Neodiprion lecontei: one gene and its partners. The protein of the gene in region 1 binds, or shares a complex with, the protein of each later gene. Links are inferred from orthologs where the notes say so. Each region holds a gene or a part of one and is shown on either strand. Other genes may lie near its edges.

Region 1 (5,655 bases):
TCCGAAATACGTTATCTTTATTCCTTCCGATAATCGCTTCTAGAATTAGGCCTATTTGTCTAAGTTACACAGGATCTAGAGCGATTGATTGCGCATATTCGCAGATTCTTTCTCTGGGGAAATAATGTGGTTAAAAAATTATTGCAAGTCGCGTTTGGTTCGAGACGTGAAACCACAGTCTGCGGTATAACCGATCATCGAGTCTTCCCGTACACGGAAATGATTCGCGATTGTATCCGGCGAAACGTGACGAAGAGATAAGAGGTCATCGAACTCTGCAACTCGCTGCTCGCCGTGGTAAAAGTCTTACGAGCTAGGGAGAAAGTTTTTTTATTAAAAAAATTCGTTACATTTTTGACTCGACGCTACTAAATTTCTTAGTCGTCGTTGGGTTGGATTAAAACATCGATTTTTTCGTTCAACCGACCGTGTAAAATTGTACCAAAGCCGTCGGTGTTTATCCGCGTTCCTCGTGAAACTTAAGTCGACATAGGCTATGAATGAAACTTTGTTCGCTTTTGTTTTCTTACAAAACAGAGTTTAAGGAAAATATTGACGTTGCGACTGACCAATAAATCTTGATATAAATTTGCCTACGGATCACATGCTTTTCTTTCAAAATATGTACATACCAGTGTAAACAGTTGATGACCAATTTAAACACTGCAAACGGAGCGGATAGGAAATCAGGTGTGAAAAAACTGTTTATACTTCTGAATTGGAAAATTACTTGGGAGAGATTAGAATTAAATGTAATCTAATGTGATACACATGCTTAAGCGAAAAACGCGGGAGCAAAGCAGAGATGTAACGGAAAATGATCGATCGGAAGGCTGTAAAATTATCTATAATCACGTAATTTGAATGACTGCAGTAAATTGTAATAGCAATAACTGAAATGCAAAGGAAAAATTTTTGTACTGTAGGGAAAATATTCTCACTCGTTCGCTAGGCTTATAACAGGCTCGAATGTCGATCGCGTTAGTGTTTGAAGGGTTGCGAGAATCTTCCTTTCCTTCGTGTTCTAGCATATCGCTTAGCTTCTCCTTAAACCGATGCATGTCTCGTATATTTTTTGAAATATTTCTTCCTACAAGAGAGGAAAGCCGGGTTTAATAAACAGCGTGGAGCCGCTTAATTATATTGTATACTGGGTTTGACGTAAAGCTTCGTGACGTTAAATAATAACGGAGAGAATAAATTGTCCGTGTTGACACGCCGATGACTTCAATTGAAGTAATTAGCGTTCTCGCACGCCGGTTAGGCAATAAGTGTAATAAATGTATCGTGACAGTGTCGGAAAACCGAACAGTAAGAAGAAACAAGCATGCTTTGTTATCGATTTTTTATGTCTTCGCAAGTGGACAAGCGTCACTTGACACTTTACGCAACATGGGACGGTTGACATTTCCCTATAAGGATACAAGAAATTAAGAAATTGACACAAACCGTTGCTGATTCAACGTAAAATATTTTCATCGATGTATATAAATTTCCTATTTCAACATTCACGATATACAGTATTGATAACTTGCACTTCAACACGCGGGAGATGAGATAACTGCTGTTTAATCACGCTTGTTCGTATAACCGGGGAAAAGAATTCGTACACAGATCCGCTAGTCGACTGTTATTCAGAGCTCAGTGCTTATATTTATTTATCCCTCGGTCATAGACTATGCGGATTGAATAGATCACGATGCGCGTAACGAATTTTTACGCCGTTGTTGCAGCCACGCAACAAGATCTTTGGTGTCGATGGTGTTGCAGATCCAACGGATCACCCGTGACTGTGACCAGTTGTCAAAGCTCACTCGAATCATTTCAAATCCTGAAAACCCGCAAGTAATTTAAAAGATCAGGGAGTCTTCGACGAAATACATTTGTTGAAAACAGTAGCTTTCTTCAATTATTGTAATATTATTAAGAATAAAAATGGGCTCAGACTACGCGCACAGAAAATGGTGTCACTTGCGAAAGGTTTTGGAAAGATCCGGGCCGTTTTGCAGGCCCGACTTTGAACCCTCGCCGAACACTTTACAGTTTTTAAGCGAAAATTGCAAGTTATTAGTTATCGGAGCAGGAGGATTAGGCTGCGAACTTCTCAAAGATTTGGCGTTGATGGGATTCGGACAGATTCATTTAATCGATATGGATACTATTGAACTTTCCAACCTCAATAGGTAGATACCGTATGATAACCTATGAATATGTTTTTTTCCACAATTCTGAAATAACAAGCTATCATCTTTTCTTCGTTTATAATAGATTTCTTTCGTTTATCACAAACAGGCAGTTTTTGTTCCGTCAGAAAGATATCGGCGCCTCAAAGGCTGAGATTGCAGCAAAATTTATAAACACACGAATACCCGGGTGCCATGTCATACCTCACTTTTGTAAAATACAAGACAAAGATGAGGCGTTCTATCGACAATTTCACATCGTAATCTCAGGCCTGGACTCTATTGTTGCCAGACGATGGATTAACGGCATGTTGATATCTCTGTTAAATTACGAAGATGGAGAATTGGATCAGTCTAGTGTCATTCCAATGATAGATGGAGGTACGGAAGGATTTAAAGGAAATGCCAGGGTGATTTTGCCTGGCCTGACTGCCTGTATCGAGTGTACATTAGATCTTTATCCTCCACAGGTAAAGCTTTCCAAAACATGGATTGCTTCTCAAATATTATATGTCACTACTACATTTCATCCTATACTTCATTAAGATAACAGACATTTTTTCTTCCAACATTCAAGAAACTTTGAAGTCAGATTCCTTAAGACATGAAATCTGAAACAGGAATATGCTTGTTCAACAGGTTACATATCCGCTCTGCACAATAGCAAACACACCACGTTTACCCGAACACTGCATAGAGTACGTAAAAGTAATGCAATGGCCAAAAGAAAACCCATTTGATTGCCCTATCGACGGGGATGATCCGCAGCATATAAATTGGATCTATGAAAAATCAAACGAAAGGGCTGTTCAATTCAGTATTCAAGGCCTGACGTATAGACTAGTTCAAGGTGTTGTTAAAAATATTATTCCCGCCGTTGCATCTACCAATGCAGTTATTGCTGCGTCATGTAGTACAGAAGTATTCAAACTAGCAACCAGTTGTTGTTCATCGCTGAACAATTACATGGTAATTAATGAACAGATTCTTACTTGTGTCATTCAGCTCCTAATACTCCATTTATGTAGCAAGATTCGAATATTTGCTCTCAACTTTCTTAGGTATTGAACGATTTGGACGGTATTTACACTTATACATATGAAGCTGAGAAGAAGGAAGATTGTCTAGCTTGCAGCCAGATCCCAAGAGAAATACAAATAAGTAATTCGACACTGAAGCTGAAAGATTTGCTAGCAATTTTATGCGAGAGGGTTGATCTGCAGATGAAAAATCCTGGTATAACTGCAAATGTCAATGGAAAAAACAAAACTCTTTACATGCAAACAGTAGCTAGTATCGAGGAGAAGACTAGAGAAAATTTGAACAGATCCCTTGTTGAATTGGGTTTAAGAAATGGATCTGAAATAATGGTGGCTGACAGTACAACGCCAAATACAGTTGTAATGAAACTAAAATTCTCAACTAGTACTACAGATATAGACATGCTATAGCTCTCATCGGATAGCTTTTGTGCACATGATAATCATATGATAGGAGAAATATTATCTATACATTGAATCCTAAAATATTTATATGTAAATTGATTAAAAACCTTAAATTTTTGTAAAAAATAAAAAAAGAAATCACATTACACTTAGATTGCAGAGTAATTTTTGTTTACACTTACCAGATACAAGATATACGTGTATGTATATATACCTATATATTTTTTGTCTAAATTTATAAAATACTTTTATGGCACCCATTTTTGATAGAAGTTTGAAAAATGAAAGAAAACGTAAAGGTAATAAGTACAAATACTGTTCTAAATTGTTGTATTTTTATCCTCACCCCGGTTTAGAGGTGGTAGATTTGTAGCAAACTTATCACCAACAAGTAATACAGAATAAAAATGATTGTTAATAAAAGTTAATAATAGGTGTAAATTGCTTGATTTATGATTCATTAGCTTTAGTATTCTTACTGTCAACAGCATGTTCGGTGTTTACGCTTGAAAATTTTTTATGTTTCTACACGAAAATGAAAAATGACCATATACAATAATTACTTGGTCAGGTAAAATACGCATCTAGCAAAACCTACATACTTTCATTCATTTGGATCAATATCCACTTGTCATATTATTTTATTTTATTCCGCTCATCACCAGGTTTGTTTGTTACTTTTTTTTCTATTGTAGAATTTTTTGTATTTTTTTTTGTTTGCTTGCCATACGGGCGAACCGCACTGTCCTTCCTGCACTTAACATTTCCCATCTCATTCCATTCATCCACTAGATTTGGTTGTACGAAAAAAAAAAAAAAAAAGTACAGACATGATCAAACTCACTGCACAGTTTATTGATGGCAATTGACAAGATCCATCGATAAATTAGTGATGAAAATTTCCATTTCACTGGGCAATTCTTCCTGGCAACATTCTAGTGTCGAAGTACAAGAGATTCGGCTTTAAAAAAGTAGGATGTTTTTTTTTTTTTTATTTTATAGATTACTAATAGTAGTAAAATTTATTTGTGAGTTAAATTATCGAATAGTTAAACGTGTGGCCTGTAATTGTTAGTAACGAATTTTTGTAATTTTCCTTGAGAAGCAAAACTAAAAAAGTTTTCAAATGACAGGTATTGCAGGTTTCCGCATCCCTTCAAGCATAAATGTGACAAAGATCCATAGTTATGAATACAGAATGGCTTCAAGTTCAATTTGTAGTCAGATGAAGTAACTTTTTTTTCAACGTCTTCAAATTACGGCTCTAAGCATGTTAAAGAATAAACCAAAATTAGAAATGACAAGCTGACCACATGATTAGTTTTGAAAAAATTCAAGCTGAGGAAGGACCGTGCACATCAGCTCAAGACAATTTGGTTTCACAAGTACACTCGTTAACATCCGACAATATGCATAACTCGAGTAGAAAAAATATCTATAACATAGATACATTATCTATCATCCTTATATAAAACTATTAGTTATTACATAATATTAATATTTCATAAATTTCATATTTTTCTTGGTAATTCGGATGCCCCCCCAAACACTTGTTTACAGCGACAAGGAATTTTCTTTTTCTCGTCTACTTTTCGGAAAAATTGTTTCTCGAATTGTAAAAAAGAGCAGAGTAAAAATAAAACTTGATTTCTCTGTGAAATTTTACGATTAATAGATTTTGCATGACATTGTTTTCACTGCTAGATGAAGGACGTGAATTTGATGAATGTCAAACTGCTGGATTAAACGTTTTCAAACAATTAATTATTAATTATCCCATACAAATGGCAGAAATACATTCGTAGAAGATACACCGGGTTTTCTACCATACGAAATAAAGTATAAGAGATTACATGTAGCATGACTAAAATTTGGTCAAAAATTGAATGTATTGAAATGAAGCTAAATGTGGGCAGCTAATTTTAGCGGAATGTCCAACTTCAAGCATGTGAGAACGCTACGATGTTCCAACTAAATGTTATCAAGCTAAATGTAAAATCATAGGTAGGCATTGATAAACAGGAATA
Region 2 (5,307 bases), on another chromosome or scaffold:
ATCGAGGAAGCGAAGGAGAAGATGAGGTATGACGCCGCGGGTAACCCGAGCGAGGAACCTAGCTGTGAGAAAGACAAGTTTTATTCCCGTTTTTCAGAGCCTTCGCTAATCAGATCCAACGCCCGTTCGGCCTACGTTACAACCCCTACACTCAGTCCGTCGAGGTTTTGACGGATGCGCAGAAGATCACGGCTCTCGTCAGCGAACTGCGCGGCGACCTCTGCATAGTCTCGAATGCTTTGCGCAAGATTCACGAACAAGACGAGACGGTCGACGTCGAGAGGATCACCAGTCTTCTCACCCAGGGGATCGACGTTCCCCAAGAATCATCCGATAGCGATGAGGACGACAGGAGCCCCAACGTCGACGAGCCTCGAGGAGGCCGGGATGATCAGAATGAAACCGACGCCGAGTTTCATCCGCATCTGAACCTTGCTTCGCGGCAGCGCTAAGCGACCTTTCCATACTCACTGCAGCCCGTTGACAATTTTATTCGTGTCTGATTGATGTATTATTTATTTCGCATGTCAGCGCTTTGAGCTAATTCTATAATGCATAAATATATTGCGTATAATTGTAAGTTATGATAGTATCTGGAGTTTTTCGTCGATTTTCGAAACACGACCGGGCAGATTGTCAAAGTTAGAGTGCAAGAATCGTACGTTCCTCAAGATCGAATCGATGTCCGATCATTGATGAAAAATTCCATATGTTATAACAGCGTAGAAAAAAATGGCACCACTGCATACAAACGAATCTCTATGTCTGATGATAAATAAATCAGACGTGTGTTATTACATGTATATCGAACAATATCGTTGTATCCATGAATCAGGCGTTAATAGAGTCGCGATGTAGTAAACTATTTAGTAATAAATACAATGGGTTTCAGTGTGGAAATAATTTTCATTTCGTTATTTCTATTCGTTGTACGCTCAAAAATGTCGGAAAAATGTATATTCTGTTATTTTCGTACCGAGCATCAAGGGGTCATCGATTAAAAACAAAATTAGATCTTTTAGACCATTACAAGAATGAAGAGTTATTAATGTGTCAATTTTTCTTCCTCCAATCGAATATTACGTAGTGCAACTCGTACGACGATGAGACGGTATTTTTGAATCATTGAAAATGGATATTCATCTAGCAACGAGTGAGTTAAGAATTATAGGCACCGATAGTCACTTTGTGTGTAAGAATTAAGAATGAAATCAGTTTACTCTACATAATATGCAAAGTTTACGAAATATGTGTTGTGTGCTTTCCAATAAATACTGTCAGTTCGACTTGCAACCAACTTCATGTAAGTTAAGTTCGTTTATTATTTTCTTTATTTCCTTTATTTCTTCATATATTATAACATCTATTTTCATCATCCACCAGTTTTCGGAAAATAAACAGCAAAAATAATCATCCGATCGGACAGTATACATTTATCTAACCATTTTTCTTTCGACAAATGATTTACTGTTAGACAACTCCGTTGTTGCCTTCAACAATTCGCAGCGGCATTCCCGCGCGTCAAATTCAAATTTTGAAATTCGAACGTAACGTTCGCCGTCCATCTGACCGGGTTGTCGCAGTGGCGAAAAAGTAAGTGATCTGCCACTTCGACGTTTCGTTTATGACCAAATGATTTTACAAAGTGAAATTGAACCAAAGTCAGCAGCGGATTAATTAGATGTACGCGAAATGGCATCGCCAAGCCCGAAATCGCCTGAACAATCCGAGAGAACGAGAAAATACGACCGTCAACTAAGGTGAGGTTATGTTTATCGCACGATATTTCAGGTTATGCCTAAAATGAATTATGACTTCTATCCTGTGGCTTAATTTGGTAAAATGTAAACTCGCCTCTGATTCATATGTACGAATTGCTCGGTAAATGTGCACATTTTACTGAATTGAGAAGCAGCATCTCTCGGATGATCCTTTAAATAAGTCATCGCTTCAAATAACAGGTTATGGGGGGACCACGGACAAGCTGCCCTCGAAGGAGCCCACGTCTGTTTGATAAATGCAACCGGGCTGGGTACCGAGATCTTGAAATCCCTCGTCTTGCCTGGTATTGGGGCATTCACAATAATCGACAGCAAGAAGATCAGCGACGATGATATTGGAGCGAAGTCAGTCCCTCATTCAATTATTTGTTTGTATTTTCGATGCTAAGATTAAAGTTTGGTCACTCCAGGGAATGCGTGATACAGTGAACATCGCATTGTAATTAATATAATTTCATCAGTTTTTTTCTAGATTCAGAGAGTGTTGGAAAATCAAGGGCAGAAATAGCTACTCAAGTTCTTCTTGAACTAAACTCCGATGTACGTGGCGATTACGTCGACGAGGGCCCTGAGCAAATCTTATCAAATAGCCCGGACTTTTTCAATAATTTCACCGTCGTTATCACTACTGCACTCCCAGAGAAGTATGCATCAATATTTTGCTACCTTTTTTTGAAGTGATGATCATCATCCATATTTTTACTATATCTTGTTGCCTCCAGGAGTCTAATTCGCTTGTCAAAAATATTGTGGGACCTGGACATCCCGTTGATAGTCTGCCGAAGCCTGGGCTTTATCGCGTACATGCGAGTTCAGACCAGAGAACATACTGTCATAGAAACTCACCCGGACAACGAGACACCTGATTTGCGATTGGACAATCCGTTTGAAACATTGAAAAATCATTTTGATTCAATAAATTTGGACGAACTGGACCTGAAGGATCACACTCACGTTCCATATGTTGTGATTCTGTACAAATACCTTGAGAAGTGGATATCTGAGAATGGGGATGTACCAAAAAATTATAAGGAGAAACAGCAGCTAAGAGATATGATCAGGAGTGGTATTAGAAAAGATGAGCACAATAATCCTATTGATGAGGAAAACTTTGAGGAAGCAATCAAAGCTGTTAATACCAGCGTTGGACGTTACGAGGTACCTCCCAGCGTCATGGAGGTCCTGAATGACGATTGCTGTATAAACCTTACCGCCAAGGTAGTATCGTTTCTTTTTTGTTTGAGCACTTCGACACATTTCGGACAAAACATAATGATGAAAATTTTAGAGTAAACCTTTTTGGATTATCGCCAAGGCTGTAAAAGACTTCATGGAGAATGATGGTTCAAATTCATTGCCACTCAAAGGTGCTGTACCAGACATGACGGCAGATACAGAAAAATATATATCCCTGCAACAAGTGTGAGTGTACGTGAATTTAATGTAAGTGCCGAACGGACATCTCAATGTATAATAAATTTCAGGTATCACAAACAAGCCGCAGCAGATGCGGAAGCAGTTTGGCGAAGAACAGTCCATTTGCTCAGACAGATTGGTCGCCCCTCGGATGCGATAACAGAAAAAGATGTCAAGTTATTTTGTAGACATGCTTCTAACATTTACATTCAAAGGGGATCCTGTATAGCGGATGAGTATGATCCAAAAACTGTGGATGCCAGCGAAATGAGTACGCCTTACTTTCATTTCATTCATATTTTACTTTCAGCTGTATATAGCTCATGTAAATAATGTTGACTCTTTTAGCTCAAAGTCTAGAAAATCCTGAAAGTATGATGGTGTACTACGTGGTACTCAGAGGGATCGAAAAATTCCAGGTGGAATACAATTCGTATCCAGGCGAATTCGACGATCACGTTGAACCAGATATTGTGAAACTTAAGGTACTATTTCAAAGCCTAGCGTAGAGCAAAGTTAAAATTTGTAAATAGTAGAGTATGTTTCAACTAGCGATAACTTATCACATTTGGGATGTGTGCGAACAGAATTGGGATTAGATCCAAGTATATTCTTTATAATCGTTTAATTCTGATTCTCGACAACACAGGAATTTTCAAATCTGTTTTTAGGGCCACCATACCAATAGAAACAAAGCTTTCATAATATCTAACATATTTCTACGTTTGTATGTGTACTCAGGCCTGTATTTCAAAATTGCTGATGGAGTGGGGTTGTGGGCCATTGGCAAAGGATGACTACGTCCATGAATTTTGCCGTTACGGCGGATCTGAACTACATTCGGTGTCGGCGTTCTTAGGAGGGCTAGCTGCGCAGGAGACTATAAAATTCATAACTAATCAATGCAAGCCGATCCACAACACTTTTATATACGACGCGGTAACGTCAAATTCGGCTAGTTTCTTTATTTGAATAGTAATAGAAAATTTGCAATACTATCGCGTAATACTATAATCACGTAATCATGAAATAAAATTCACTATTTCCATACAACTTGGCTAAGCATTAAATTACCTAGTCTGCAACACACGCCAAAAGATGAATGAATATCGTTAAATTAAAAATACGAAAATGCTTTTGTGTATAAAAAAGATTTGATGATTGATTTTTGACAAAAAAAAAAAAAAAGAATTTCATTTTATTATTACGTCAGATAAGGCTTACAGGCTAACTTCATGTCTGTGAGATATCAACGTTTTTATCGAACTTAAACTAGAATGCATTGGTATTAGACTTGTTTAAGAATATAAAACGTTGGTCAGTGGTGTAATTCACCGAGGTGCGTGGGAAGAGAAATCGCAGAATACAACACCTCGTTACGTTTCTCAAAAATCATCAATGGATCAACTATTTCAAACACTATCGCCTGCCTCTTCCTCTGCCACGACCTCCACGTCCACCTCTAGCGCCACGTCCACCACGGCCTCTTCCACGAGCCGCACCTAGTACAGAAAAACAAGGATTAGAAATCATCGATATGTATTAGAATACTATTGCAAAGTCTGGATTGAATGTGTCGAAAATTGAATCAAGGAAGATTAGTCACAGAAAATACTAAAACATAAATAAAATTGATCATAAAGGCCGCAAAACTTGAATGACTATAAGGACCTCGTGCGGCTTCTTTCTTCTTTGCTTTAGCCTTGGGCGTGTCATCGATAAGCAGAGTTTCCAAGGGAAGGGAATCAGGCAGAATGTAGTATCGAATGTTGTTTCCCCTCAAACTCAACGTATCGAGTTGTACAGGGTCTCTGTTCTTTATCGTCATCTTCACAGTTTTCAAGTGGGTGTTCATGGCCACATCCACACCTTAAAAATAAACATTTTTGTCATGCATCTGCAAAAACTATTTCACTTGGAGACAAAAGAGAAGCGGCCTGCTCTGTACGCTATTCCAACTGTGATTTGATTGTGTCAAGTCAAATGGCATAGGTTATGTTTACAAACCTGTGATAGTTCCGTGAACTTGGGTGCCATTTTTCAGTTCTATCGTAACCGTCTCATGGCTGAGTTTCATCAAAAATCTGAAACACGAAATATCCCAATTAAT
Region 3 (4,169 bases), on another chromosome or scaffold:
ACAGGATCGCTCGATAAAAAAAAGGAAGGTAAATAATGCCGGAGCAATTAATCGCAGTCGCATGAAGTGCGGAAGACGATTTAAAATATATTTTCATAAGGCTGAAGTTAGTAACCTTAATGTAGCGACATACCAGGATAAAAAATCGTCACTGAGATATTTGAGAATGACTTTCAAGGAGTTGGCTTCTCAGAATACTAATATATTTTGTTTACAATGGTTTATTTACTTTGGAAAATCATTTTTCCTGAACATACGTCGTTTTACAGTAACGGTACGTTGATGACTTCATCCTTATGTATTTTCAGTGATCGAGCATGCCAGCAAAATGGTAAAAGAAATTGTCATAGTAAGTTTTTTCATCAAGTCAAAGATTAGCGCAACAAAGGAATATGATAGCAAATGAAATTATGTGAAATCTTAAACCTATTTTTATAACTAAATTTAACGTACTTACAACAACTCGTCGAGGAGAGTTGCGAAGTTGGGCAAGTAACATGAATTAATAAACGCTGCAACAATCCCTAGTTTATTTTATAGAGCACTAAAACGTTATCAACGGATTTATCAACGACCGTGGCTAAGCGTTATGGAAAATTAAATATTTACCCTGATTCGGTTGCCACATTAAACAGACTCCGGCTGAATTAATAGATCATAAATAGTTCGTTTCGAACAATTTAAAACGTTAAGAATCGAGTGCAATTAACTCATAGTAACATCTCTCGTTAAATAAATATTCGTATAGATTGACAAAGGCGATATTATACATGTATATATCGTATTACACGTACCACATCATCGTTGTGCAAATTTCGATTATCACTGACACATTACACACTCTACGTAAACACTGTAAACATCGGTACTCTACAATATCATTATTACAGTTACTTTCTACTATCGTTTCGTTTCATCGCCGCGACAATTCCCGATGCACCGATGTCAAAGAACATATATATATTATTTTTTTCTTCTTTTTTTCGTACAGTGAAAGGTTCACCCAACCACGGTGCGACAGACTTCACTCAAAAACACGTGACTGCGCGGAATCTTGAACAGAGCTTAAGATTTGAATGTCTCTTACAGCGGATCACAATTTGATATATTATTGCATTTGTTTAATCTTATCTGTACCCTAGTTTGACCATTTATTAGATATGAACGGTTATCAATTGTTTCGAAGAAATATGTTAAAATATTAACCTATGAAAGTGAGAGAAGCGGTTACCTAACGCCATCGCGATTGGTCATTATAACTGTCTACTCTGCGAAAACAATGCAATCCTACAGATATGTGCCAATATATGATATATGTAGAAGAGTAAACATGCTGTACGTCATTTTCGTACGTTATTTTCGGCTGCTAGATTCGTTACACCTTTTTGACCTTGCTTATGGCCACGCTATTCCATGCATACGTGGACTAGCAAGACTGTCTACGCAACGCGAATTTATTACACTATTTTTTTACTCAACGTCAAAGTAACAGAGATTTCAATGGCGATGTTTAGAAGCGGAGTTCACGCTGTTAGTATTATTTATAAGTCTATGGAGCCACGCATCGCCAAAGTGTCTACGTTCACTGAACAACTTCAAATACGGATCTTGGAGTAAAAAATTTTTTATCCAATGAGGAGATGGTCGCAGTGGCGCTATTTTCGACTGAACCAATCTACCAGCTTTCAGCGTTCAGCCGTTAAACGGTGAAAATTTTTAATTATAAGCCTTCAACAAGGTATCTGGCCATTCGCGACGGAATCGCGTTGATTTTTTGCGATAAATGTGAGCAGAAAATAGCCGGCGAAAGTGATCAAGGTCAATTAATTTTCGTATTTGTGGTTAAAAAGACGTGAATTTAACTATATGGTGGAATATTCGCGAAGCGTGAATATAGCCAGGGGAGAGCACGGTCCGAAAGGCGAGTTATCCCCCTTGTCAAAAATTAGTAGGTTCCAATTTTTTAATCTTCTGTGATTTTGCTTGAATTTAAAAAGTATTTGTATGCCTCGCTATATTGTAGCCGAACTTAGAATCTAACATGATTAAATTATTTTCACTAAAACAAGCGAAAAAAGATGGCGAATCACCAAGGACAGGAACTCAGAAAAAGGCCTCAGCAGCGCAGTTAAGGATCACGAAAGGTTGCGATTTATCATTTTTTTTATCACATAACGGGATACGATTGTGAAAGAAATATTTAAAATAATCTTTCCCTTATTTTTATTTCAGATATAAACGAACTCAACCTGCCAAAAACATGCGGCACAGAATTTCCAGATCCAGATGACCTGTTGACTTTTAAACTAATAATCTGCCCTGACGAAGTACGTATTTTACCACTCAGAAATTCTCAGTTGTTTTCATCATCCTGTCGCTACTTGTTGCGTACCAAAATTTCAGTTAGTCAAGTTTCTACTGCAGCAACTTAGTAGCGATTCTTTAAGCTGTGCTAACTTCAGCGCAGATCGCTCATGCCTGTATCTCCTTCTGTTCTCTGTTCGTCGCTCGATTGACAAATGAGCCAAAGTATTCACCTCGCATTATAATTATTCTTAGGGTTTCTACAAAGGCGGAAGATTTGTGTTCAGTTTTAAGGTCGGTCCAAACTATCCACACGAACCACCTAAAGTAAAGTGCGAAACGCAGGTTTATCATCCCAACATTGACCTGGAAGGCAATGTCTGCCTGAATATTCTTAGAGAAGATTGGAAACCTGTATTGACAATAAACTCGATTGTCTACGGGCTTCAGTATCTCTTTCTGGTAAGTATTGAACACTCTGAATTTGCGTCTCTGAACTCAATGTGCTTACTTTCATGTATTTCCAAAACTTACATCTTGACAATATATTGGGCAAATATTTTAGGCTGAAAAGTATCGAACCAAAGAAATTGGATAAGTTAAAATAGTTTCAACCTTGCAACTGAAGTCGATCAAAGTATGTTTTGTTCACACAAAATCTCTCGGATAAAAACTGTTATTAACAGATTTAGTAAAGTCAGATTATTGCACATCTTATGGTACATTTGTTACATATATTATGCATGTAAATAAGTTTCCCACAAATCATCTACCGAAGATTTTTCCTTGAACTTCTCAGTCGACAAGGTTTCAATTCAGTTTCACTCGAATCAACTTCGGTTGCACCTTTTGAATCATTATTTTATTTTTATTGTCCATTGGAGCTTTTTTTTTTTTTTAACTAGATTGTACTAATGAATAAATCTTACAATTTTATTCTTATGCCTCTCGTTTGTTTATTTTTTCTTCATTTTCTCTTTACTTAGGAACCGAATCCTGAAGATCCTTTAAACAAAGATGCGGCAGAGGTGTTACAAAATAATCGAAGAGTATTCGAACAGAATGTGGTGAAAGCAATGCGAGGTGGATACGTAGGGTCATTTTATTTTGAACGGTGTCTCAAGTGATACACCGCCTCCTCACCAATGCTGTATACAATCCTGCAAAGACTCAGACTTAGAGGACAAATACCAAGAGACTGGAGAAATGGAGGAGAACACAGTGTTCTAACGGTTACCTGTGTGTCTGCTTTATACATATTTACGTTCTTCACGTCTTGCCAGGCCTCCAAACATTTAATCCATCAAGTATTTTATGCTTTTGGCTAATAAACTTACTTAAATCTTCACAATGTATAGTTCACTAAATAGAAGAAACCAAAAATTTCCTTGACAGGCAGTTTGCGTCGTTTAAATAACAGCAACTGCACAAGCTTTAAAAAGTGGGTAGATGCAATAAGGTGGAAGCTGCTGATCTTAGGTTTCGAATTTCTCAATAGCGATCAGAAGGACACCTTGAAAGCAGTGCTGGCTATTTTAGTAGCTGGAATATAAGTTTATAAGTGGTGCGAAACAACCGGTCGATGGTCGGGATGTAACGAAGACTTTGAGTTTTCAAAGAGCGGGGACTGTAAAAGTTGAGTAGAATATTTACATAGAAAAAAGGGCGAATGTACGATTGCATTAATTTTCAAAGTAGGATGTCCGAAAGGTGGACCTGTCCATCTTCTACATCGTCGATGAAATAAAATGATTAAAAACATCGCACGTTATTTTAACTATCTTTCGAAAGTGTGATTTGTACATCGAGCTAAAGTAGCGCAATTTTATGAACCATAAAAATTTACCTGAATACTTCCAAAGGAG

The links.
Region 2: the proteins of NEDD8-activating enzyme E1 catalytic subunit (region 1) and NEDD8-activating enzyme E1 regulatory subunit are in contact, whole or in part, in a crystal structure (PDB 3DBR), measured with the Homo sapiens proteins. The link is inferred for Neodiprion lecontei from reciprocal best matches to the Homo sapiens genes UBA3 and NAE1. Residues at the interface, in NP_003959.3 of Homo sapiens: Trp34, Glu35, Gly36, Arg37, Trp38, Asn39, His40, Lys43, Phe44, Glu46, Arg47, Ser48, Gly49, Pro50, Phe51, Thr52, Phe56, Glu83, Lys86, Asn87, Leu90, Ser91, Val106, Ser107, Leu109, Asn110, Arg111, Phe113, Leu114, Arg116; in NP_003896.1 of Homo sapiens: Glu10, Gln11, Lys12, Tyr13, Asp14, Arg15, Gln16, Leu17, Arg18, Leu19, Trp20, Asp22, Glu44, Lys47, Asn48, Leu51, Pro52, Gly67, Glu68, Ala70, Gly71, Asn72, Asn73, Phe74, Phe75, Gln77, Arg78, Ile81, Phe92, Glu95.
Region 3: the proteins of NEDD8-activating enzyme E1 catalytic subunit (region 1) and NEDD8-conjugating enzyme Ubc12 are in contact, whole or in part, in a crystal structure (PDB 2NVU), measured with the Homo sapiens proteins. The link is inferred for Neodiprion lecontei from reciprocal best matches to the Homo sapiens genes UBA3 and UBE2M. Residues at the interface, in NP_003959.3 of Homo sapiens: His53, Pro54, Asp55, Glu61, Ser62, Phe65, Cys70, Gln149, Asn152, Asp153, Thr154, Arg157, Gln158, Phe159, His160, Ile170, Arg173, Trp174, Ser181, Leu182, Leu183, Asn184, Pro192, Ile195, Val196, Pro197, Leu214, Met217, Arg254, Met255; in NP_003960.1 of Homo sapiens: Lys3, Leu4, Phe5, Ser6, Leu7, Lys8, Gln9, Gln10, Lys11, Lys12, Glu15, Lys21, Gly22, Ser23, Ser24, Lys25, Lys26, Ala27, Gln31, Leu32, Gln35, Lys36, Ile38, Asn39, Glu40, Phe51, Ser52, Asp53, Pro54, Asp55.

What each region holds. Positions count from the first base shown.
Region 1 is NC_060260.1:9,429,489-9,435,143, reverse strand, and holds NEDD8-activating enzyme E1 catalytic subunit, read left to right. Parts: upstream 1-1,744; 5' UTR 1,745-1,935; coding exon 1,936-2,183; intron 2,184-2,292; coding exon 2,293-2,653; intron 2,654-2,822; coding exon 2,823-3,152; intron 3,153-3,244; coding exon 3,245-3,634; 3' UTR 3,635-4,945; downstream 4,946-5,655. Other genes in the region: coronin-2B, read right to left, coding at 942-1,061. UniProt on the Homo sapiens protein: Catalytic subunit of the dimeric UBA3-NAE1 E1 enzyme. E1 activates NEDD8 by first adenylating its C-terminal glycine residue with ATP, thereafter linking this residue to the side chain of the catalytic cysteine, yielding a NEDD8-UBA3 thioester and free AMP.
Region 2 is NC_060261.1:43,619,387-43,624,693, forward strand, and holds NEDD8-activating enzyme E1 regulatory subunit, read left to right. Parts: upstream 1-1,558; 5' UTR 1,559-1,692; coding exon 1,693-1,760; intron 1,761-1,961; coding exon 1,962-2,126; intron 2,127-2,242; coding exon 2,243-2,425; intron 2,426-2,503; coding exon 2,504-2,999; intron 3,000-3,069; coding exon 3,070-3,203; intron 3,204-3,265; coding exon 3,266-3,468; intron 3,469-3,545; coding exon 3,546-3,682; intron 3,683-3,807; exon of another isoform or gene 3,808-3,938; coding exon 3,939-4,169; 3' UTR 4,170-4,573; downstream 4,574-5,307. Other genes in the region: tryptophan 5-hydroxylase 1, read left to right, coding at 1-26, 98-452; probable small nuclear ribonucleoprotein Sm D1, read right to left, coding at 4,617-4,699, 4,869-5,066, 5,205-5,281. UniProt on the Homo sapiens protein: Regulatory subunit of the dimeric UBA3-NAE1 E1 enzyme. E1 activates NEDD8 by first adenylating its C-terminal glycine residue with ATP, thereafter linking this residue to the side chain of the catalytic cysteine, yielding a NEDD8-UBA3 thioester and free AMP.
Region 3 is NC_060266.1:5,034,860-5,039,028, reverse strand, and holds NEDD8-conjugating enzyme Ubc12, read left to right. Parts: upstream 1-1,901; 5' UTR 1,902-2,041; coding exon 2,042-2,144; intron 2,145-2,232; coding exon 2,233-2,327; intron 2,328-2,559; coding exon 2,560-2,766; intron 2,767-3,290; coding exon 3,291-3,431; 3' UTR 3,432-3,652; downstream 3,653-4,169.